Linked DNA regions of Arabidopsis thaliana. Each later gene encodes a partner of the first gene's protein in a complex. Each region holds a gene or a part of one and is shown in the gene's direction. Other genes may lie near its edges. The genes, in order: AT3G10820, AT2G10440, AT3G01435 and MED8.

Region 1 (5,931 bases):
AAAAAGGAAAAACGATTTTTTCTCGTCAAACCATTGTCAAGGACCTTTTAGAAAAAAGATTAAAATAACTCATCGTTTGTAACTCTACTGGTGACTAAGTAACATAAATTCCGGACGGAACAAGGCTTCAAGATCACAAGCCAACGAATTTCAAAGTTGGAAAATGAACTAAATTCGAAGAGATATTATGAGTTAAAAGTCCGAAACTGTTTTGTTATATTAATTTAAAATAGGTTTTACAATTTTAGATATATAAGCCCTAAACAACTTTCACAAATCCAAAATGGATACACTAGAAGCACAATTTGAAAGATACATAAAACACTGAACCCTTACAAACACATGACAAGAAATCGATTAAAAGGCCTTTAGATTCAAATCAAACGCAAATGACGTAGAAACAAATAGTCAAATACAAGTAGTGTTTAAGCTCCATAGCTTAATCTTTGACCCCGTGATCTTGCTTTTGCATAGTAGCTATTTTTGTAGAACCAAAATTATGCAGAAATTTTTACACTGAACCAAAACAAAAATATGCAGAAACAAGATCATGCATGGGTTTTAACATTAAACCAAAAAAAGATCATGAATGAGTCAAAGATTAAGCTATGGAGCATAAACGATAACATGTGATCGGTGGAAACAAAACGAATCATGCAAGTATGGCTTACCGGAGTTAAAATGGATTGATCCGACAAACTTGTGAATCTCCAAGTGCTGAAAGAATATTTAAAATAGAAGAAAAGGAAACTTTTGGAAGAAGAGAAGTCTTTAACGCAACTGAAAATAGAGTCGAGGATGATATCGACGACGAAACTTCAAAAGACAGCTTCAACAACGGGAACATGTGGCTGAAGCTTAACAAAAGAGTCAAAGCACGAAACTAACGAGAAATTTAATGAAAAAAATACAAAAATAATAATTTAATACTAGTACTAATTAAAAAATAGTGCTAAACATCTGTGGGACTATGAACAATGCTTTTTAAAACGACATAATTGCGACACCAAAAACGCGTTTATTTAGATTACCTTTCAAGTAATTCACGTGATAAATGTAATTATCCATAACTTTGAAAAATGAGTACCCCATTGTTGGTATCAGGACATGTGTAATGTGTTAATAATTTACTATTACAGTATGCTCTGAATGTAATGTTGATAACATAACTTTAAAAAAACGAATATCCCATCTTTATACTAGCTAGGCCATGTGACGTGTTTTTCATCAAGGGTCATTATGTCATATAGGACGACACATGTATAGTCTAGTTATTACTAATTTACTATTAACTAAATAATCATTCAGTTAATCATAAGCCTATATCTTTAGAATTAATATATATATTGACAAATTCAATATTTTACTTAAATAAAACAGATGAGTTATCAAGATAAATGATCAAAACTATTACCATTTTTTTTTATAACCTAAGTTTTTTAATGTCGACATAAATTTCTGGCTTTTTAAAATTCTAGGGTCTTCTTCTCTTGCCCTCTTTTAATTGGCTCAAGCTCTGTTTCTTTAAGTTTTCTCGGGAAAGTTCTTGTGGACTTTCTGCAGAAACTTTTGTCAGATTCTCAGGCGAATTTTATTTCCTGCAGAGAAACTTAAAAAAAAAAAAAACTACACAACTAGTACTATATTGATTCGTATTCAAAAACCTAAATTCAAATTTAATTAGGGTTTTGCAGATCGAGGAATTCGGATTCCGGAATCGATTTTCCCTCGCCGTTTCGTGATGGCGAAGATGAGACCATCTGTTTCGTTGGATACTTGGAGAGAGTATTTCCGGCGAGGAGATTCTGATATTTTTGGTATCATTGATCATGCGATTATGGTAGCTGCTGCAGATTGGCCAAAGGAGTTTAAATCCAGGAGTGATAGAATTGCTGAGCTTCTCTTCTCTTGTAAAGTGAGTCGCTGCATTGGTTGTGACCACCTTGAGCTCTCGATAGCTGGAGACGAAGCGGCGGTGGAGATAGTTGGAGTTGGCGGCGGCGGTGATAGGGGTGATTCTGGTGTTGCGACGGGTGAAGGTGAAGAGGCGTCTGTGAGTGTTGATGAGGTTATGAGGATCAGAGATATCTTGTCGAACAAAGACGATGAGGTTTTTAGTCTCTTTGCTTGGATTACATTAAAACTTGTGCTAATTCATTGGTTAAATTTGGAATCTTTGTGTTGATTGTTGAGTTTTTGGTTTCTGTCATCTTTTTTGCAGAAAGATTCTGTGTTACTCGAATCTCTGAGAAAGCTTGAGTCAATGTCTATGAGTGTGGACATTCTTAAGGTTTGTTTTTTTGGTGTTGTTTTGATATTGTATGATTTGGTGTAGTGGAAGTTGCTTATTCTGATGGAGCTTTTCGAGGCTGTGGAGTGATTTAAGTGTTTACGTTCTTGCAGGATACTGAAATTGGAAAGGCTGTTAATGGTCTGAGGAGACATAGTTCCGATAAGATTAGCAAACTTGCAAAGACTCTTTTCGCGTATGAGTTTCATCATTCTCATTGTGTGCTTAGTTTCATTTGTTCTCATACTCTCGCATCTGTGATGTGAATTAAACTTTGGCAAAATGTTCCAAAAAAATTGAACCTCCACGGTTTGATTTAGATGCAAACCAGTTGCCTTGTAGGATGTCTCAAATTGTAAAATGTCATTATAAAAGCCTTGGTTGATCATTAGGGAGCTGCTCTTGTGTTAGCTCAATACTTAGAACATTTTACTCTTCCTTACTTTCTGGCTCCCGAGTATAAAGATTGTGTTTTTATATATGGGATGCACAGAGAGTGGAAGAGGCTGGTGGACCAGTGGATGAACACCCCAGAGGAAATGGCTGGTAAATAGCTCTCTCCTCCTGTTCCGTAGTCAGTGCGAGCAGGTTTTGGTCTAGATTTATAGTAATTGGGTCTTGCAGGCACTGAAGGGACGCCAGAGTCTCTAAACCTTTCAGTAATTGATGAAGAAGAAGCCTTTCCTTCTCCTCCACATGATTTAGATATCTATGCACCTGAACCTAATGGGTTTGAACTTTCTCAGGTCTATTAACATTTTTCCCTCTCATCATATTTTATTTCTGGCATAGACGAAATGTTATCCTGACAAGTTTCCTCCCTCGTCCTTGTTTCATAATGTCTTGGGTCACTTGAAGATCTTAGATTGTTTGGACTGCGATGGAAGTGAGTTAGTATACTCTTTGGTACTCTGTTCTCTACTTGAAAGTTTTCCTATATTTTGACACTCATGGTGGCCACTGTTTTCAGATCCTCGTCACAGTGTGGAGTCCAAACATGAAAGAAAATCGCAAAGTAGTGCGGGGAGGAGACCCAAGGGAACAAATGATGCAAATGTGGTTGGGAGGTACTGCAATGATCAACAGACGAGGAGAGAAGAAGCTGATGTTAGACCTATGAAGCACTCAGCCACAGATGTTGTCGAGCCTAAAAGACAAACAAAGCAAAGTAGAGAACAAATGGTATCCGCAATCCAACGAAAACCAACTGCTGTTACTGAGCAAAAGCGGAAACTTGCTGGACCTCAACAAGATGTGAGTGTTTGAGTTAATAAAGCCGTGGTGTTTGATTATTAATCTGTTTTGTTTCTAATAGCAAGTGTTCTTGTCTTTGTTCAGAAACTCAAAGCTCTGGATCCAGACTCAAAGTTTGAGTTTGCAAAGCGGAAACTCCAAGAGAGCTACCACCAACATGAGAATGGTTAGTCAAATCGTCTTAAGAGATTTCAATATTTCCACTATTACAATACACCTAATTCTTAATGACCCATTTGTTTTTGAACAGCTAAGAGACAGAGGACGATACAAGTACTGGAAACTATCCCAAAGCAAAATAAAGTTCAGAAACCGCAACTCAAGAGACCCGCCACACGAAGATAGTCCATTTTTTCCTTCGGATGATCTATACAATTACTACGACCATTCAGAGGCGTTAATATACAACAAAAGTGCATTGACAGATCCAACATAAACTTCTTAGGATGCTCTATTCTTTTGTCCCAGTATTTATTGGTACTTCTGGTCCAGTGAATTCCCGGTTTGGTCCGGTTTTGTGACAATAGAACCTCATAATTGTGACAAGGGAAAATCCCTTTTTCACTTTCTTCATGTTTCATTATGAAAATAAAAAAGAAAATTATTAGGACAAAAGGGCTTCTCGTATTTGACCATCCCTAAACCTAACTTGCGAGGCAAGCAAACTTTTTAAATCTGTTTATACAAAGATTTTGTAATTTTTAATATCACTTATGAGGTGAAATATAACAGAGTGATAAATTCCTAGGGTTACGAGTTACCTTCCCTCATCCTCAATCTCGCGAATCCTCGTGATAGTTCCTCCCAATTCTCAAGGTACCTACTTCAATTTTCCTTGTTGTAAATTTTGTTTTCCTAGTGCTAGTTATCGATAAACCTGATGGGTTAAACGTTGAGCTGTTAAGAATTCTGGCCTAGATTTTGTACGTCGGGGATACAACCGAAAGTCTTTGATTGGAAATCGAAAAGCCCTAATTTTGTGGCCTTTATTGATAAACATAAGTGAGAGCATAGGTTTGGTAAAACAATGGTCTCTGTTTGCATTGCATAGAATTGAAATTTAGCTGCATATGTAGACATGATGAGTTGATGATTGATATTCCTGTATATTTTGGACTCGTACTTGTGCAGATAGATAAAGCAGAGATGGTGGATGAGATGATGATTTTCAAGAAGATGAGTGTCCTTCTAACTGAAAAGGATTTTGTTGATGCCATCGTATCTGTTTCTCTCAAGGACCTTACGAGATCACTCTTTGTCAGGTTCGAGGCCAAGGCTTGCCCTAAGTTTGACCTTATCCATAAGACTTCCGTCGAGACGGTTAGGTGCGTAGGGAAAACCTTTATGCATATGCTCTCTAAGGTTTCTAGAGAGTTTCCTCCCCGCAATCGAACTCATCCCGGTGGCCTCCTCTATCAGCGATTTGATCCTACTCACTTGTCTCTTGCTCGCCAACAAGTTGCTATATGCAAGGAAACTGATTCACAGTATCCGCATGAGATTGTGATTCACTGGACAAGTGCAAGCGCCTGAAAGTGGATGCTCTTGGTTACATGTTTACTATTGCAATGAGATGCGCCCCTAGTTTGGCTTATCTCGAAAAGTTCAGGCAGTACATGGCTCAGGCGAATGAGAAGAATCTGGAAGATGAGACTGCTGCTACTCTGACGAACAAGAAGCATGTCGCCCTCTTGGCTGAGGAAGACTGCACAGTCCTTTGCACCCCTCGCTTTGAGTTTCAAAATGTTGCCGACTTTGTTCTTCCAGAAACTTTGCGTTGGCTTGACGAGTTGGAGCTTCAAGCCAGCTTCAAGCTCCAAGCTAATCAACTGGACTCTGCAAAACTTGCCCGCACTCGCAAGAAGCACCACATGGTGTATTATTCTCGCTTATATATCAATCTGTTGAAGAATCAATGTCTCTCGGTTATTTTATTCTATATCTATCTAGTCTTTGATATTGTCGACATTTGTTTCTTCAGGTCCAATAACATGAAGAATCTCTCTAAAATTTAGTCTTGATTGAGCTAAAATATATAGTTATACTTCATGATACAATGCCTTGGAACTTCAAGTCCACGTCTTGTTGTTGTGACCCTCCAAAAGCATTCCCTAGAAACTTTGCAACAATAGATATGAATTCATCTGGTTTTTCCTCTTGAGGAAGATGACCACATTTCTTAATTACTTCGAACACTGATCCCGGTATGGCTCGTGCCAGCCTCTCTGCGTTCCATGCTGGCACAATACGGTCCGTATCTCCCGTCACAATCAGAACTATTAGAAACATGAAGATAGTATGATGTCATTGGTTCAGAGTTCAGACATACAATGCACAATATTTGGTTCCAATTTCTAATTCATTGTCAGAATCTTATAGAAAGAGAT
Region 2 (6,801 bases), on another chromosome or scaffold:
TGAAACAACTGAAACCTATAAACATTGATGCTTCTTCAAAAACCACCAATCCAGTAACTTAAACCAAAAATAGTCGCAAACATCGATATAAACAATACACTGACGCTAATCCAGAAGATTCATAGTCGTGAATTACCTTAATACTCTGATTCAATCTTCGAGATGTATCCGGCGATGGATTCTGGCGGAAGAAGCATGAAAGGGAGCTGTCTCGGCGTGACTGGAGACGGCGAAAGGAGGTAAAGCTAAGACCCAATTTCTCATTAAGCCCATCTTCATTAAAAACAAGACCTAAACGTGAGAAGTGTGTACGTATGTATATAATGTCTTCTTCCTCTCGCCGCTTATGTTACGAGCACGCAATGTTAACCTTATCAAAATCATAGAAATTTGATCTCAACTCTCAAGTCACCATCATCCTCCACTATCGAGTTCACCATCGTTGTAGTTTGTGGTTGTGGTCCCGATCGTGTTAAGTGGTGACGTGAAGTTATCGTCACGTAACATCCAACCCTAATCATCACCATCTGAGCCACTATTAGCCTTCTTCGTCCTCCTTCTTCACCGGAATCTAGATCTATCATTGGTGCTTTGTTTGGGTCTGTGATACCGAATCCTCTACTTCTTCGTTGCAGAGTGAGATAACGGTGAAACCTTATTCTCGTATTCATGTTAAGGTGTTGTGTTGTTTAATTATTGAACCAACCTAAACCAAGGGATTACGTATAGTTACGGCCATGAATTGAAACTTGATTATTAAGGAACCTTTTGAGTTGATCGGTTATGGCGTCAGTTGGGTTGTGTTAGTGAAGAAGACGATATAGTCAGTTATTGGCTTATTAGAAAGCGTTGGGTTAATTGTCAAACCAGAAGTAGCATTGACATGTACGTGATTTGAATTGTGGCGTTGGTTTAATTATTAAACCGGGGAGTATTTGGTCACGTAAATGGATGTGGCGTAGTCAATTACGTGTTAAGCAACTAATATTAAATTATTAGACTTGGTTTAGTTATTAGATTAAATAACAAATTATTAAGGGAATATAATCTTGATTGATTAATCTAAATTGTTGTAGTTTGAGATCGTTGTTGAGCCGGATCCATTGTTGCTAGTCCTATTTCTTAAAATCCAACCGAGTTGCCAAGGTGAGGGTAGGATCTGTGGAAACATAGTATCACCTTTACTTTTGTATTTCTGAATTTCATTTGTATAAGATTAGACATTGGGTGCTGATTGTTAAAATGTTAGGATTATATATTAAATATTGTTGATTCAGTAATCAAACAATGAATTTGTACTAAGGGATTTAGACAAATTCACTCCTCTCTTAGCTCACAAATAATCAAAGGAAAAGAACTAGGTTGCTTAAACAAAAAGCTAGGGTTTGCTCTGTAATAGTAGTCTCTTGTATTAGGTTAAAGATGATCTCAATGGGGGGTTTGACCCCTCTATTTATACAATAGGTCGAATATACCAAAATATGATAAACTTCTAATTATCTTAGGTTTAAATCTTCATTACTTCTATTCTTCATGAGATCCTCTTCTCTTAAATGGAAGTTTTCCCTTTACACGACCTAAGAAGTTGGTTATGGCGATCTTGATTGTCGACTTAAGTCTTCGGGCGATCTCATGACTTAGGCCCATTAACAGGCTAACCGGGATACCCCGGTTCAATCGAATTCTCGATTTTATTCACATTATTCCTCGGTTTAAATTAGTATTGTCGGAGGTGCTAATTCCTGCACCAACAAATATTATAATACGTGTTGTGTGATATTATGCGATAGGTTGTTAGCGTGATATGCATATTGATTTTTGAATACTCTTTTGTCGTTTTCTTGTACTATATATTTATCTGTTTTGTGTTACCATGTTGAGTAATTTCTCTAATCATTCTTTTGTTTGTTTGTTAAGGTTTAGCGAGGCGGTTCTTGGTCAAAGCCTATACATACATCTCCCCGTTAGGACGCATAACTTAATGGAGGGAAATACTAACTGGAAGCCTAATGAACAAGGCGGAAACCGTGATGCTGCGAATAATCGTATTGATTGGAGATCACAACATGAGCCTGAATTACGGCAAAAGGTTCTTTCAAAAATGTAAGCCATTCTTTCAAGAGTTTCATGTTTCTTTTGTTGGACTCATTGTTCTTATTTGATTATTAACATTCATGAAAGAGAGTAAGGTTTTCTTGGTCATGCTTTCGATGTGATATTTGTAGTTTGCGCATGATAAAGATTGCAACAGTTAAAGCATAAGAGTTGTGCATAAATGTTTATCATAGTTGACAAAACCTAACTTCAACCTTTTGTACTTTAAGTTTTGCATATTCTTTTAACCTCATTACCTGCATTTAGGCTCTTCCTCACTAGGAGAATCTTGTTTTACTCTCGCTTCTATGTACAATTGCTTGGCACATATGTATAATTGTTTCAGTGTTTGTTCGCTAAACGATTATCGTAAGTTCGAATATTAACTACGGATTATTTTCTCTGTTTTGTATTTTTAGTGCAATTAAAATGGTATCACTTCCTCTTGAATATCAGTTATAACCAAATTCTTCATAGTCACTGATATTTTGTTCTCATGTATGTGTAGAGTTGAAAAGTTCAAGGAAAAGTTTCATGCACATGAAGAATATAAGATTAACGACATCGCTTCCAAATTTGAAGAAAATTTTTATAGCATAGCAACCGATAAGGTGTTAAACTACAAATTGTTTCTCCATCTATTAACTTCAGAATCTGAATTTGATATCTTACTCATTGTCCCCTTGCTATGTTTCAGAATGATTACCTTAGGAAACTCAGTGAAACACTGCATTATATACAGAGAACTTACACTAGAGTTCTAGGTAATAAGTTTTTGGTTTCATAATTATACTATTTTAGCTTAATAACAAAGAAATCACTAACTAACTTTTTTTTTCTATGTGTTTATCTAAACATCAGCTTCTCAAGTAGTTGTGAATCAAGCTCAATCTCTTCCCGCCTTGTTGCCATATATGCAGACTACAACGAGCCAACAATGGTTACAGCAAAACACACAGAGCAATCTCTGTGTCATCTGCTTTGCCAAGTCAGGTCCCTATAACCGTTCCCGGTTCTCAAAGACAGATACATGGTAGGCAACAACTTCTTCCTCAGCAGCAACAGCCTCAAATGAATCAAATCCGCCATGGTAATTTACGACCTTCGCACATGCAACAACAAGCTCGGTCACCGCAGCCGCAACATCATCCGCAAAGTTTGTTGAAACAACCTATTCAACAGCCTTTTCCTCAATCAAGCTAACAAAACACTCAATCACTGACCAGAAATCAGTTTTCGATACAACGGGTCAGTTTTAGTCATCAACAACAGATGGTTCTGCCGTCTCAAGAACAGAAACGACAAGAACAAGAGCAACTCATTAATCAACTGACGAATCTTCCAACATCACGACCAAACAATAGAGACCAACAAGGAGCTTTTCAGGTATCCTCGTCTCAGCAGAACAATAATGTTACCTTACATGCAATGTCTCAACAGAAGAATAACCTCCAAAGTATGACTAGAGGTCAACAAGTAGGACAATCTCAACCAATGATGTCACAACAATACCGACAACAATACCCCATGCAGCAGGATCCTCAGAACAGAAACTTACAGAAACATTTGGATTTTGTACAAAACAATACCAATCAATTTCAAGCAGCAAGTTCGTTGCGCCAAACACAAAACATAACAGATCAACAGAACCAGCCACAACAATTAGAGAGAGCAAATCCATCTAGTATGTTTCCTCTCTTACTAACTCTTGTGATAATGTTTTTAGTTCTAATAATGAATATCATTGTAGCATCTCAAGATTCTACGGGAAAGACGGTAAATGTCAATGCCGGAAACTGGCAGGAGGAGACCTATCAGAAGGTATCTTCACTTGCTTTGCTCTTCACTTCTTAACATCACAATTAGGGTTTGATTTTGTTTTCAATTGATTCCCATTCTGATATGTCCTGCAGATAAAAAAACTGAAAGAGATGTGTTTACCTGTTCTCAGTTTAATGCACCAAAGAGTTGCGGAAAAATTGCGGGAGGTACTTTATTTTATAACCTAATTGTTTTGCTTGTGGAACAAGAATTTGTTCTAATGGTTTTCTTAATCATTTTTTTTTCTAAAACTTTGTGTTGTTTTTGGTTTAATAAACCTAATGTTTCCAGACTGAATCTCTTCCGCCGCAACCGATGCAAGCTCAGTGGATTGAAAAGCTAAAGGCGGGAAAATTGTCAATGGAACACCTTATGTTTTTCTTAAATGTTCATAGGAGCAGTGTATCAGAGAAACATAGAGACAAGTTTAGTCAATATGAGTACCACATATTGAAATTTACCAAGAGTCAGACCATGGTTTTGAGGCCAACGCAGCAACAACAAGGACAATTTCCTCCTTCTCAAACAGCAATGCAAACCCAAAGTCCTCAAGTCCATGTGTCACAGTCTCTTTATAAGGAGCAAAGGAGATCACGGTTGATGCCAAGTAGCCAAAATGAGGCCTCGTCTTTGTTGCAAATAAGGCCTAAGTTGGATCCAAGAGACGAGAACATCATTATGGCTTCCTCAGGAAATGTCATGTTACCTTCTGTTAAACAAAATCCTCGGGCCGTAAACACAAATATCAGTTCGGTTCAGTCGTTGCAGAAGCAGAAGCGATTCCATCACCGACAAATGCAACAACAACAACCACAACAAGGGAATCATCAACATCAAATGCAGACAAATGAGATGAATGATGTGAGGATGAGGGAGAGGGTCAACATTAAAGCCAGGTTGCTTGAGCAACAAGTCTCATCGAGTCAGCGCCAGGTTCCAAAGCAAGAGTCTAACGTTTCATCCTCTCAGATACAGAACCACTCTTCTCCTCAGTTAGTTGACCAGCATATTCTTCCTGCGACGATTAACAAAACCGGAACCCCATTGAACTCTAGTGGTTCGGCTTTTGTTGCTCCAGCTCCATCTCCAGTTCCTGGAGATTCTGAAATGCCTATATCTGTTGAGTCTCCAGTTTCTGGTGTTGATGAAATAAACTCAACTTTAGATTCTTCTAGTAAACTTGGCACACAAGAAACTCCTCTGTTATTTGTTCCTCCGCCCGAGCCAATCACAGAGCGGCCTATTGATCGACTTATAAAAGCGGTAAGTAAACTCTATAGCTTATCTAAGTTTACTTTCTTTACCTTCTCCTATTTACTGACCTAATTTTTAATGTGTGTGGCTTTCTAGTTTCAAGCAGCATCACCAAAATCATTGGCAGAATCTGTAAGTGAGATTAGCTCGGTGATTAGTATGGTTGACATGATTGGAGGATCGTTCCCTTCTAGTGGAGGATCTAGAGCTGGTTTAGGCGAGGATTTGAGTGAGAGGACAAGAAACTTTACCACACACGAAGAAACAAATCTGTCTAAGAGAATGAAGCGATCAATCAACATTGTGCCGCCAGATATGTCATCACAAATTGATAGTTATGAACAGTTGAGTAGCCTTGAATCTGAAGTTGTTTCCACAACATCATCTGGCTTGAAAGTTAACAATATTGCGGTAAAATCTACTCTATTGGTATCGAACTACGAAAACAAATGAAACATCGAAATAAATCCATTTTTTCAATCTTGTAGCCTGGTTATGCCCTTTTGCAAGAAATCAAAGAAACAAATGGGAGACTTGTAGAGACAGTGGTAGAGATATGTGATGAAGATTCTTTAGGAACAATCGTCACTTGTACTTATGCTCCTGTGGCTCTCAGTGCCACATTCAAAGATCATTACAAGTCTGGAAAAATTGTAAGTTACTTCAAACTTCTTCTTTTTCCTCACTCTGCTCAGATTTTTTATGTCTCTAAATGTTTGATGCAGGCACAGATTCAACCTTTACGCTTACTATTTCCTATGGATTATCCGTATAGTTCTCCGATAGTTCTCGAGGAAATCTCCTTTGACACTAGGTATGAATCTTTCTTAGAAATCAAGTAACAACGATTGGAGTAAATATATATGATCTTAAGGATTTATATCTGCATGTTTCAGTGTACACAAGTATGAGGATCTATCCGCGAGAACCAGATCAAGGTTCAGTTTGTCCATGAAGGAATTTTCAGAACCAGGGTTTTCGAAAGGAATAGCTCAAACGTGGAATGATTGTGCGAGAGCGACAATGGTTGAGTACGCAGAGAGACATGGTGGAGGCACTTTCAGCTCCAAGTATGGTGCTTGGGAAACGGTTCTAAGAGCTTCATGAGGACTAATACTTCCTTTCTCACTCACCGTACAAGATAGTTTTTAGGTGGGAAGCCTTATAGCCCAAGTTAGGTTTTTTTTTATTTCCTTTGAGATAGAAGTAACATTTATTTGTATGGTGTGGCTCATGTCTTCTTATTGTATATATTTTAACAAGAAATTATAATTGTTTCAAAACCGATAGTATAATAAATTATCTTGAAATATTTAGGCACAAAGCCTTTTTTTTAAAAAAGATTTTAAAGTATTTTATTGTTTTTTCTTATTACATGTTTCATTTATAGAGCCCAAAAGGTTGGAATATAAGTTTTAAAAAAGGATTACAGAAAATGAAGCCAAGCCTATAAAACTAAATCATCCTTAGTAATTTAAACATCCACTCATAAAGATTTTGCTGATGAAACGTGTTGATGAAGTGTTTTGCCCTATGACACGGGCCGAGACGTCAAGCACCGCTGTTGAATTCGCGGGAAACCGCTAGAATTCACCAAAATGTTGAGAATCGTCTTTCCTTCTGTCGATCTCG
Region 3 (3,860 bases), 3.2 Mb from region 1:
GTTTCTCTATCTTTGGTTTATGGGTTTGTTTCTTTATTTTGTGTGTGAATATGTCGATGTGGTAAGATAAATCTCAACGACTCAACCGTTAGTTTTAGGCAAAAAGTTAGTCGGTTTATTTGATATATATCATGTTTTAGTCTATATTACATTGGTTTTCTTAAAACTTTTTTTTTTTTTGGCCAAATGTTTTCTTAAAACTAAGATTTCAATATTAAACATTTAGTGCATATACTCTTCTTTCTGTATCTTTGATTGAAAAATTAAAATCCAATTCGTTATAAATTTGATCATATTTTGGTCTATACATTACATTTTTTTTTTTTGATTACTAGATCTCAATATTTTTCCGCAAAGATTACAATTTATGACCACAGAGTTATCAACCATGTAGGATCATCAATAGCAAGTAAACCGGTATAAACCGAACCAGGATCATGCCATTCTGGTCATTACCTCTTGAAGAAGAAACTTTGTATCTTTATAACACGATTCCGTCTCTGCTAAGTTCTTCGTCTTAGCTGCATCTTCAAGCTGTGTCGAAACACCAAGAAAACAACAAATAAACATATAGGATATATCAGAAAAGAGAAGAAATTTTAAAAAAACAATAGTCTCTTCGGTTTGAACGAACCAGGACTTCATTAGTACACTTACCTTTTCGAAATTGTCGAACAATCTGTTGGCTAAATCAGTGAGAGGTTGCTTGTCTTCAGAGGCAGCAGCAGAGATGAGATTGTCGAAATCGTAAAACAAAAATGTGGATTTAAGCCTCAAGTACTTTTTCACATAGTTTAAAGTATCTGGTCCGATCAAATCCTCCATTGCCAAGAGATCAAAAGCATTCTTTTTAACTCTATACATTCTTCCTTTCGTCCCGATATCCGCTACATACACTCCTTTCTTTATGAATGTTCTCGTTCCCGTCTTCTCATTCACGATATCTGTATATTCAAATCGAGGACGAATTCAAAACCGGAAATCAAATGATTCTACCAAATCGAATTCTCATCTTGAATAGTTGTATGGCTCAAAATGTTCAAACATTTGAAGAAAGAAAACAATCAAGAATATAAAATGGCGCTTACTGTTGTAAATAGGAGGAATTGGAAGAGGACCATCAATCCAAAACCCATTGTCTTGTGCCAAGGAAACATTATTTTCGCCGAGAATTCCGGTAAGACCTATTGAGACAGCAAATCCTAATGTCATCCGTCTTGTGATCTGTACCGAATCCGGTTCTTGAAATTCTTCAGTTCTCCTGCAAGCAAACCCGCTGGATTTCCCGGTTTTACGACTCTCGGGTAGTTTCGGAAGAGACGGTAAAGTGTTGGTGAGACTGTTGAGGTCTATGAAGTGAGCCATTGCAGTTAGAGAGTAAGCTTTAGGTGTCAGCCTCTGTTCTTGTGTATTGTTTACGGTTTTTATCCGTTATAAATGAGAAAAGCGGCCATCACAAAGATTTTATCTGAACCAAGGGGTGTTTTCGTAATTCAATATTTTAACTACTCGCTGTTCCTGAATTGATAAAGTAGAGTTCGTGCCGTTTTACGTGACAAAAAAAACTTGTATCTTCTTTGCTTTTTCCTTCACCGATCTGTATTGCCGAGTGTCGCCGATTCCCCAAAATCTTCCCTCCGTTGCTGATCATAAGCACGCCGTTTCCAATCGAAATTCTCCGTGTTATTTCATCGTCTCTGCCATCTTCACTGTCTCGCGTCGCCGTGTTCGATTGAGGTACTCCCACTGCTCCGATTTGAGTATTTAGGGTATGTGTATGAGTGGATTTGACGGTATTGTGATATATCTCAGTTTGGAGTTCTCTCTCTCTGGTCTAAAAGAAATCGTGGAGAGTCCAATGGATCCGCAGACGCAGAACACTTCGTTGCAGCGACTCCAGAATGTTGAGAATGTGAAATTTTGGAAAACTCACTCTTTCCTTAGAGATTTTATTGGACGATTTGATGTGAATGTGTTTTTGTGTTTTTATTTTTGGTTTTCCGGGCAGAGAGTTGTTAAGGTTTTGGAACTAGCTGGTGGAGTGATGGAAGAACTCGCGAGCCCTTCTGGTCCCAAGAAAGAGTTCGTCAACAGCCATTGCCGAGAGTTTATGCAATCTATGAAGGTTTCTTACTCTATCTCTTCTTCAAATATTTTCTGATTTCTTTTGCATTAGTGTATTAATAAACTACCTGATCAAAGAACATTGGGGATCACTTGACACAAGTCTAGCTAGATTAGTGTTCTTGCTGACTCAATCTCTCTGGGGAATTGGTATCTTTTCTCGAGTGTTGATCGTTTGGGCTAATTTGACACAAGTCTATATTAGGGTTCATTACATTTCCTGATCAAAGTTAAGGGCTTTGTTTAGAATTTTGATTTTGGTTTTAGTCTTCAAGATGGCCGCTGCTTCTCGTTTTGTGATTCTTCTGTGACTAGTTAACATATGGGTTCATGTATCACAATCTCTAGGTTTGTATTCCTTTCCTGTTTCTTAGGATTTGACATTGATCCTTTATTCTTAGGCTTAAGGTTTATGAGTGATGGATGCTGATATTTTCATATTGGATGGAATCTCACTGTTTAAAGAACATTTGGGCTCTCATTTGACACATGTCTAGATTAGGGATCATTACATTCTGTGAACAAGTAAAAAGCTTTTGATTCTGCTTTTTTTCTAGAGATAATCATAAAGTTTGAAGATATCAGCTTCATTGTCTGGTTCATGAACTTGTTGATCTTTGACTGTACATAAATGTGCTATAATGTTATCGCCAATCCATAATAAGATGAAGTTCTTGTGAAACTTGCAGGATATACAAGTGACACTAAGGGAAGAGATCAAAAGCGCTTGCGAGTACCGTCCCTTTGAGAAATGCGATTACAACGCGAGAATAGCCAATGAGATCTGCTTCCAGAAGCTTGAATATGTTCTCACGCAGCTTGAAGATCTGAAACAAACTGCTGACCGGTATCCTTCTTCTGATTGATATTGGTATTCATAAAAAGGTTACTTGAAGAACTATACTAAACCATCGGTTGTGATATAGTTTCCAGATGAGTTGTAGACTTGTAGGTTATCCCATTAAAGTATGTCCGGTTTTTACGAATGAGTGGCTTGTTGCAAAAGTAAGATATTATCCTACTTACTATATTAGATTTTGCAAAAAGATTAGGTGATTTTGGTTAGAACATTCACTTGCAATGAATCTGTTCCAAGAATATTAGATACATTACATCCACTGGGAGTTATCAATTTCAGCTTATGGAGAAATCGAACCAATTTTGGGCCAGAGAGAAACGGACCAATTTTATTGCGGTTTAATGTATCGATCAATACTTGGAACCAAATGTGCTAACGTCAATTACGTATATGAACCCCTTCATTCATATGTGGTTTAATAAATTAATAGCATCAACAGCTGAAATTCCCGGTTAGATGTGATAAAACCAAAGCGGTTAAAAAGGGTTAATGAGAACCAATATTGCCGGGTTGGCGGTTACGCCGTTTTGTGCTCTTCTGTTTTAGTTACAGCTCAAGAGACGCGTTGATTGGAGAAGGTGATAGAAATCTCTTGGGTAGAGGGAGAAAATTAGGGTTTAGAGTTGGAGATGAGAAGAGGAACGACGATCTAAGGAGACAAAAGAGAGTAGCTAGATCAGGACGAAATTCCATATTTCCTTCGTTTCTGTTTCTCTCTGAGAATGAGTCATCAATCGCCGCCGATCGCTGAAGTTGATGCCACCGACGATATGCACGAGGCGTTGTTCGCGAAGCGAGGTTGTTGTTTCCTCATGCCCTGCCTTGCCTCATCTCAGCCATCAACTCGCGGCGGATCTGTGTGGTGGCAACGGATCAC
Region 4 (6,004 bases), on another chromosome or scaffold:
ATTGTGCAACCAAACCACACACAATACGTGTTCATTTATTTTTTCTATATCTTCAATAGATGTCACTTAATTCTTTTCTATACATAATTTCTCAGTCAGATGAGATTTTTTGAGGTTTTCCATATTTCTCCGGCGATAAAAGTTAGTAGTGTCTTTGGAGGGCTGTCAAAGTAACGCCATGACAGCCAAAAGATGAGAAACTCTCTCTTCCTTCCCTTCCCACAAACTCTAGCCTCTGTATCTATTCTTTTTCATTCTTTCAATGTAAAACAAACAAACAAAACAATGTTTACTACATTTTTGTTTTTGTTTTTGTCTTCAAAGTACTCTTGTTTATTAAGTGATTTATACAAAAGTTTACAAGTTATGTAGGATGAACTAAGGAAGCTTATGTTTATGGGTTAGAGAGACTACATTGGATGATTCTTCTAGGATTTTGAATCACCAAGAACCATCAACAAAGCCAACAGTATCTTTCACACAAGTTACTAATATCTTCTTAAATAGTTTTACTTTGTAAGAACCATTTCCTTGAGTGGGTTTACAATGGGACGGACTAACTTGCGTACAAAGACCGTTTTTTATTCACTATTCATAATTTTGGTCCGCAGTTTAGTAAATAGGAAAAAATATAAAAACTCTAGGGGAATTGGAAAACTAACCAAAAAAAAATATAATTAAGAAACTAGCATAAAAAAAAAAGCAATGATATCCTCTATATTTTATATATTAATTCCAAGTTTACCCCCTCTATCTCTTTCCGTCTACCTCTCTCTTCCCTTCTCTCTCCCCTCTATCTTTTTCTCTCTCTCTCTTTCTCTCTCTTTCTTTTTTTCTCCCCCTCTCTCTTTCTCCTCCCAATAAAGTTCCTACACCTACCTCGTTACTTGTTTTTTATTTCAAATTAGAGTCTCTTAATTACTTTAGGGTGATATTTGATTTGGGGGTTTCGAATTACAGAGCGAGGAACACAAGTTAGGTTCAGGGAATTGACTTTCGTTGTTGCACTTGATGATGAAATAGGGTTCCGTTGTTGCGCTTGGTGTATTGGTGATGAAATTGAGTTCCGTTGTTGCATTTTGAGAGATACTATTCTATTTTGTAAATAGTATACTATTTACGTATACCTTGTTCTATATACGTTTTAAAATGAATTGTTTGTTTTGATTAAAGATGTTAAGTGATTTCATTAATGTTTTAGATTTAAACCCTTGGGTTCCCTATATATTATCCCTTTAGGGTTTAGTATACTTCCATCAAAAAATATTGTCAATTTATATAGAACGTTATGTTATTCATTGACAACACTATTCACATCTAAATTATTTTGTGTCTATTTTCAAAAATTTAAGTCATGATATTTGTAGAAAACTATACAACTTTTTAATAGATATATCATGAACTTGAATTAAATTTTTTAAGATCAGATAATATGAGTTACAATTGAAAAGGAGTAAAGAAAAAAGAAAGAGAAAAGAGAATTTCTCTCCTACCACCTATTTCTCTTCTCACCTCAACACCAATAATAAAGTCACGTCAGCTCACACTAATCATTCTCCTTCTTCGCTGACGAAGCGTAACACCAGGACAGTGATGTCTTTTTACTCTCCTTGAAGGTTATTTACTACATTTACAAATTTATGGTGTTAGTTGGTTAATTATTTAGTAAAAAAGTGTTATATCTACAAATCACGCAAAACTCTATTACGGACCAACAAATAGTTTATTTGAAAGCAAAAAAACAAAACTTGGTCCGTAACGGATTATTGTCCGTCTTAGAAATATAATGGTCTACTCCGCAAACAGATTTGTCCGTCTTAGCGACATATTGGTCTAGTCTGCAAACGGATTTATCCGCTCTGTCTATTTGTTGCAACCTTGTAAGTTTTCAAAGAGGAAACACATATATATGTTATGGATTCGGTATGTTATTATATTTCCCGGTTCTATTTCTCAAACACACTCTCTCGTCTTCTCCAATAACTAACTTCTCCAAATCAAAGCCTTCTTCGAGATTTTGCGCATTCCTCGTTTTCTAATTCGTAAGTTTCTCTTTTGTGTGTGTTTCTAATCGAAACTTTTGTGTCAATTTCAAATCGGAAACCTAATTAATTTGTTCAATTCGCTGTGATGTTAAAAACCCCTAATTACGTTAAATTTGGAATTAGGGTTTGTGTATTAGCTCTGTGTTATCAATGGAGACACAGCCGCAGCAACCACCTCCTCCTCCGGTAGCTGAGAAGCTGAATCCAAAACTGGAGAAGGAACTGAATCTGGAGTCGTTGAAGACACGAGCCGTTAGCTTGGCCAAAGCCATTGCTCGAATCCTTGAAGATTTCGACGCTTATGGTCGAACCAACACTACTCCTAAATGGTTCATCATCATCGAATCCAGAATTTGATAATATTTTGATGTTTATGAATTTTTTGTAACAAGGATTGATTTTCTTTTTGTTTTGAACAGGCAGGATATTCTAGGGCAGTATTCGATGGTAAATCTCGAGCTTTTTAACATTGTGGAAGAAGTAAAGAGAGTTTCAAATGCGTTTGTTGTGCTTCCTAAGAACGTCAATGCTATGAACGCTGCAAGTATGGTCTTTTTTTAGTTGTTTTAGTTGATGAGTTAAATGAATTGTGAATGTGATGAACTGGTTTAGCTTAGCATTTATCAGTGAATCTGCAGTTTTACCGGTTATGTTGTCTTCGAAATTACTACCGGAGATGGAAACTGATGACAATGCCAAGAGAGAGCAGTTGCTTCAAGGTGTTCAGAGTTTGCCTATACCAATGCAAATCGAAAGGCTTAAGGTTAGTTTTGTAATGTATTTTTGTTGTGATTTGTTTGCTGGTTTTTGAAATGGTATCTGTTATTACAGGCGAGGATGGATATGATTGCAGCAGCTTGTGAAAATGCAGAAAGAGTATTAGCTGATACTCGTAAAGCTTACGGATTTGGCACTCGTCAAGGCCCGTCTATGCTTCCTACTATGGATAAAGGTCAAGCTGCAAAGATTCAGGAGCAGGAGAAAATGCTACGAGATGCTGTAAATGACGGTAAAGGTAAGAGGGTTTTAGAATTTATTGAGTCATTTGATAGTGTACGAAACTGCAGTTTTCTGTTTTGCTGAATTCCTTCTCATGTTCTTTTACAATGGTTGTTTCTAGGAACACAACTGCCTCCAGACCAGAGACAGATAACCACTGCACTTCCACCACATCTGGCAGATGTGCTAATTATCAATGATGCAGGTAACGATTTCATTGATCTGTCTGGTAGAAGTAAACCCAATGCTTGAATCTTCTTTATTTTGTTACTACTACCAATGGTATTCTCACGTTGTTAATGGCTCCAAAAATTCTCTTTCATTAGGTAAGATTGCATTACCTGGGCAATCAAACAACATTAACAATCAAGGAATGATGCAGGTTAAACTAGTTTATTCTCTCTAGTTGTGATGATTATTACTTTTGTTAGTATCATTGTCTTTCGAGGTTCATGTCTTTGTGTGTTTTTAGGTTTCCGGGACTCAATTTGTGGGAAGATCAGCTGCATCTCCATCTGGTCCTAATTTTGATAACACAACATCTCCCTTACCATATTCCAATTCTCCTCGCGCTACGGGTATGGTTAATGTGCCTTCGCCTCAGCATCAAATCCAGCAACAACAGTTTCAACAGCAGCAGCAAAGGTCAAAATTAATGCAGTTGCCTCAACATCAGCAGCAGCAACTACTTGCACAACAACAACAACAGCTCAGGCAATCTTCTATGCAGGGATTGGGTCAAGTAGGCTTTGACATTTTGCAGACGTAGCAATTGACTGTTTTTTCCTACCATACTGCTTTATTGAGCAACATGCTAATTCTTTGTGTAGAGTCAGATACCAGCACTTCATGATATGCATGGGCAAGCTCAGCAAAAGTTTCAGACGGTAAGATAAATAGAACTACAACATAGTTAGGGGATAGATGTGTGAAGTGAAAAGGATCAGACACTACCTTGGTCAATTATTTGTATCATTATGCAGTAGTTATGGCCATAAATGAAGATGACTAGACGTATTTATACAAGTTTACATATACCAAGTGAATGATTCATACTCTTGAAAAGTTATCCTAGATCTTGGGACTTGGCAGAAGCTTTTATATAAAAGTAACTGTGACAGTTCGTAGTTTCAAACAGTAGAATCAAATGAAATTATGAAACAAGCTTTTGTCTTTTAAGTGTGAGTTTTATCTTATTTTTCAGTCACATGGGCAACATCAAATGCCATATTCCCAGCCAATGGGCGCGCACCAACAATTCCAAGCTAGACAGCTCTCAGGTGGACATATTCAGCATAGCATGTCTCAAGGACAGCTCAATCCAGCGATGAACCGTCACTTAAACCAGTTTTCAGGTGGAGCCAATAGTGCATTGTTTACTTCTGCACAAGGCTCCCCAAGTAGCCAAATGGTCAGTCACCTCTCTTTAACCTCTTGAATTGATGATTCGAAACAATTACTAATCATATTTTCTACGTACTTTTTCTTTTAATTCTAGATACCAAACATGTCATCTATGCAATCTCAGACACTTGTTCCTAGGATGCAGGTTAGCTCAAAAACTCCTCTACTCATTATGTTTCCCAAATCTGAACGATGAACATTGTCTTAATCTGATGATCTCTTTGGATTTTTATGGTTGTCAGCAATTTGGAGTTTCGGGTACCAATCCCCAAAGAAGCCATTCGTCTCAAATGTTGGGTGACCAGAGTAAGTAAACAAATCTCTTCTAAAACATGTTTTCTTACATCAAAATCGATTCCCTGACTATTTCATTTGTCCTATCTTTACAGTGTTTAACACCAGCGGAATGATGCAAACACAGCAAACACAAATTCAGCAATCGCAACAGCAGCAGCAGCAGCAACAACAAGGAGGCTATGGAAATATGCAGACGAATCAGCAGAGTCTACAGCCTAATAACATGATGCAGAATGCTCAACAAAGGCACCAAAATCCTCAATAACCCCTTTTAAATAATTTGGGCTTGTAATGGGCCGATGCCTGTATTTTGTAGTACCAAAGGCCTGGCCCATTCTTTAACATTAATACACTCACCAGATTTCTCTAGTTGTATGGTACTTTCACACTACACTAGTACACTTTGTTTACTTGTATCATTGTATGAGGTTAAAAACGTGAAGCAGAGATTGGACGGTGGAGGATTGTTTTCGTTCTGACATGTTTATTGAGAATTCGACACGTGGCATCGACGTGAACATCTCGACGCCGTTGATGGGGTTATAGAGACAAAACGAAGACGCGTTTCTGTTGTACACGGGACTCGAGAGAGCGACGTGTCTATGAAGTTTACCTGTTTTCTGAACTTTAAACAGAGAGCTTTAAAACTGCGACTCGAAAGCTATTAAATTTTCTGACAATTTGTTTTGTTTCTTGTCAACTTAATTTTATATACTCATTTTTTATGTACTTATTTAGCTCAACGACTCGTTTAGTTACCTCAATCAAATTTTGAAATTTAGTTACCATTTCTTTTAAATTTTTTGTTTGCTTTTGTTACAAATATGAAAAACTAGTTTACTTTGGTTTTTAGGAATTTGCGAAAAAATCACTCAAAATCGCTTATTTTTACAATTTATTGTGCACATTCAAAAAATGCAAAATAAATTTATAAAATTTAAAATAATACACAATATAATTTATTTGTGCGATTTTGCATATGTTATAAACGTTTTCACTATAACATATATTTGTATTCAAAAGTTTTAAAGATATAATTGAACTCATCATCTCAAAGGCTTTGATTTGATATATTATTTTCTTTAATATAAATATTCAATGCATAATTTTCTTTAAATTAATTTTATATAAAATAAATATTTTACTATATATTATATGAAATAAATGCTTTATTATAGGGAAAAAACCCAAAACAAACCTCAACTTGTTATGAATAAAGATGGATGCTCATTATAACGCCCATCATCTAAACTCATCAT

What was found.
Region 2: AT3G10820 (region 1) and AT2G10440 share a complex: the UniProt entries of both Arabidopsis thaliana proteins name them as parts of the mediator complex.
Region 3: AT3G10820 (region 1) and AT3G01435 share a complex: the UniProt entries of both Arabidopsis thaliana proteins name them as parts of the mediator complex.
Region 4: AT3G10820 (region 1) and MED8 share a complex: the UniProt entries of both Arabidopsis thaliana proteins name them as parts of the mediator complex.

Annotation. Positions count from the first base shown.
Region 1 is NC_003074.8:3,385,617-3,391,547, forward strand, and holds AT3G10820 (Transcription elongation factor (TFIIS) family protein), read left to right. Parts: upstream 1-1,583; 5' UTR 1,584-1,741; coding exon 1,742-2,110; intron 2,111-2,221; coding exon 2,222-2,290; intron 2,291-2,403; coding exon 2,404-2,486; intron 2,487-2,783; coding exon 2,784-2,836; intron 2,837-2,914; coding exon 2,915-3,036; intron 3,037-3,148; coding exon 3,149-3,176; intron 3,177-3,260; coding exon 3,261-3,544; intron 3,545-3,628; coding exon 3,629-3,710; intron 3,711-3,794; coding exon 3,795-3,888; coding exon of another isoform or gene 3,889-3,889; exon of another isoform or gene 3,890-4,012; coding exon 4,013-4,046; exon of another isoform or gene 4,047-4,292; coding exon 4,293-4,360; intron 4,361-4,536; exon of another isoform or gene 4,537-4,620; coding exon 4,621-5,077; 3' UTR 5,078-5,387; downstream 5,388-5,931. Other genes in the region: AT3G10840 (alpha/beta-Hydrolases superfamily protein), read right to left, coding at 5,591-5,820. UniProt on the Arabidopsis thaliana protein: Component of the Mediator complex, a coactivator involved in the regulated transcription of nearly all RNA polymerase II-dependent genes.
Region 2 is NC_003071.7:4,013,227-4,020,027, reverse strand, and holds AT2G10440 (mediator of RNA polymerase II transcription subunit), read left to right. Parts: upstream 1-1,981; coding exon 1,982-2,103; intron 2,104-2,440; coding exon of another isoform or gene 2,441-2,467; intron 2,468-2,602; coding exon 2,603-2,705; intron 2,706-2,791; coding exon of another isoform or gene 2,792-2,858; intron 2,859-2,955; coding exon of another isoform or gene 2,956-3,014; coding exon 3,015-3,127; intron 3,128-3,217; coding exon 3,218-3,342; intron 3,343-3,385; coding exon 3,386-3,778; intron 3,779-3,820; coding exon 3,821-3,915; intron 3,916-4,007; coding exon 4,008-4,082; intron 4,083-4,206; coding exon 4,207-5,178; intron 5,179-5,265; coding exon 5,266-5,580; intron 5,581-5,657; coding exon 5,658-5,822; intron 5,823-5,864; coding exon 5,865-5,983; intron 5,984-6,065; coding exon 6,066-6,276; downstream 6,277-6,801. UniProt on the Arabidopsis thaliana protein: Component of the Mediator complex, a coactivator involved in the regulated transcription of nearly all RNA polymerase II-dependent genes.
Region 3 is NC_003074.8:165,983-169,842, reverse strand, and holds AT3G01435 (uncharacterized protein), read left to right. Parts: upstream 1-1,554; 5' UTR 1,555-1,737; intron 1,738-1,789; exon of another isoform or gene 1,790-1,812; 5' UTR 1,813-1,858; coding exon 1,859-2,125; intron 2,126-2,813; coding exon 2,814-2,990; 3' UTR 2,991-3,329; downstream 3,330-3,860. Other genes in the region: PnsL3 (PsbQ-like 1), read right to left, coding at 436-534, 658-944, 1,089-1,365; AT3G01430 (NHL domain protein), read left to right, coding at 3,706-3,860. UniProt on the Arabidopsis thaliana protein: Component of the Mediator complex, a coactivator involved in the regulated transcription of nearly all RNA polymerase II-dependent genes.
Region 4 is NC_003071.7:903,783-909,786, forward strand, and holds MED8 (mediator subunit 8), read left to right. Parts: upstream 1-1,730; 5' UTR 1,731-2,042; intron 2,043-2,168; 5' UTR 2,169-2,195; coding exon 2,196-2,374; intron 2,375-2,464; coding exon 2,465-2,589; intron 2,590-2,683; coding exon 2,684-2,808; intron 2,809-2,876; coding exon 2,877-3,060; intron 3,061-3,165; coding exon 3,166-3,249; intron 3,250-3,370; coding exon 3,371-3,426; intron 3,427-3,516; coding exon 3,517-3,786; intron 3,787-3,874; coding exon 3,875-3,931; intron 3,932-4,248; coding exon 4,249-4,455; intron 4,456-4,542; coding exon 4,543-4,593; intron 4,594-4,690; coding exon 4,691-4,754; intron 4,755-4,837; coding exon 4,838-5,010; 3' UTR 5,011-5,490; downstream 5,491-6,004. UniProt on the Arabidopsis thaliana protein: Component of the Mediator complex, a coactivator involved in the regulated transcription of nearly all RNA polymerase II-dependent genes.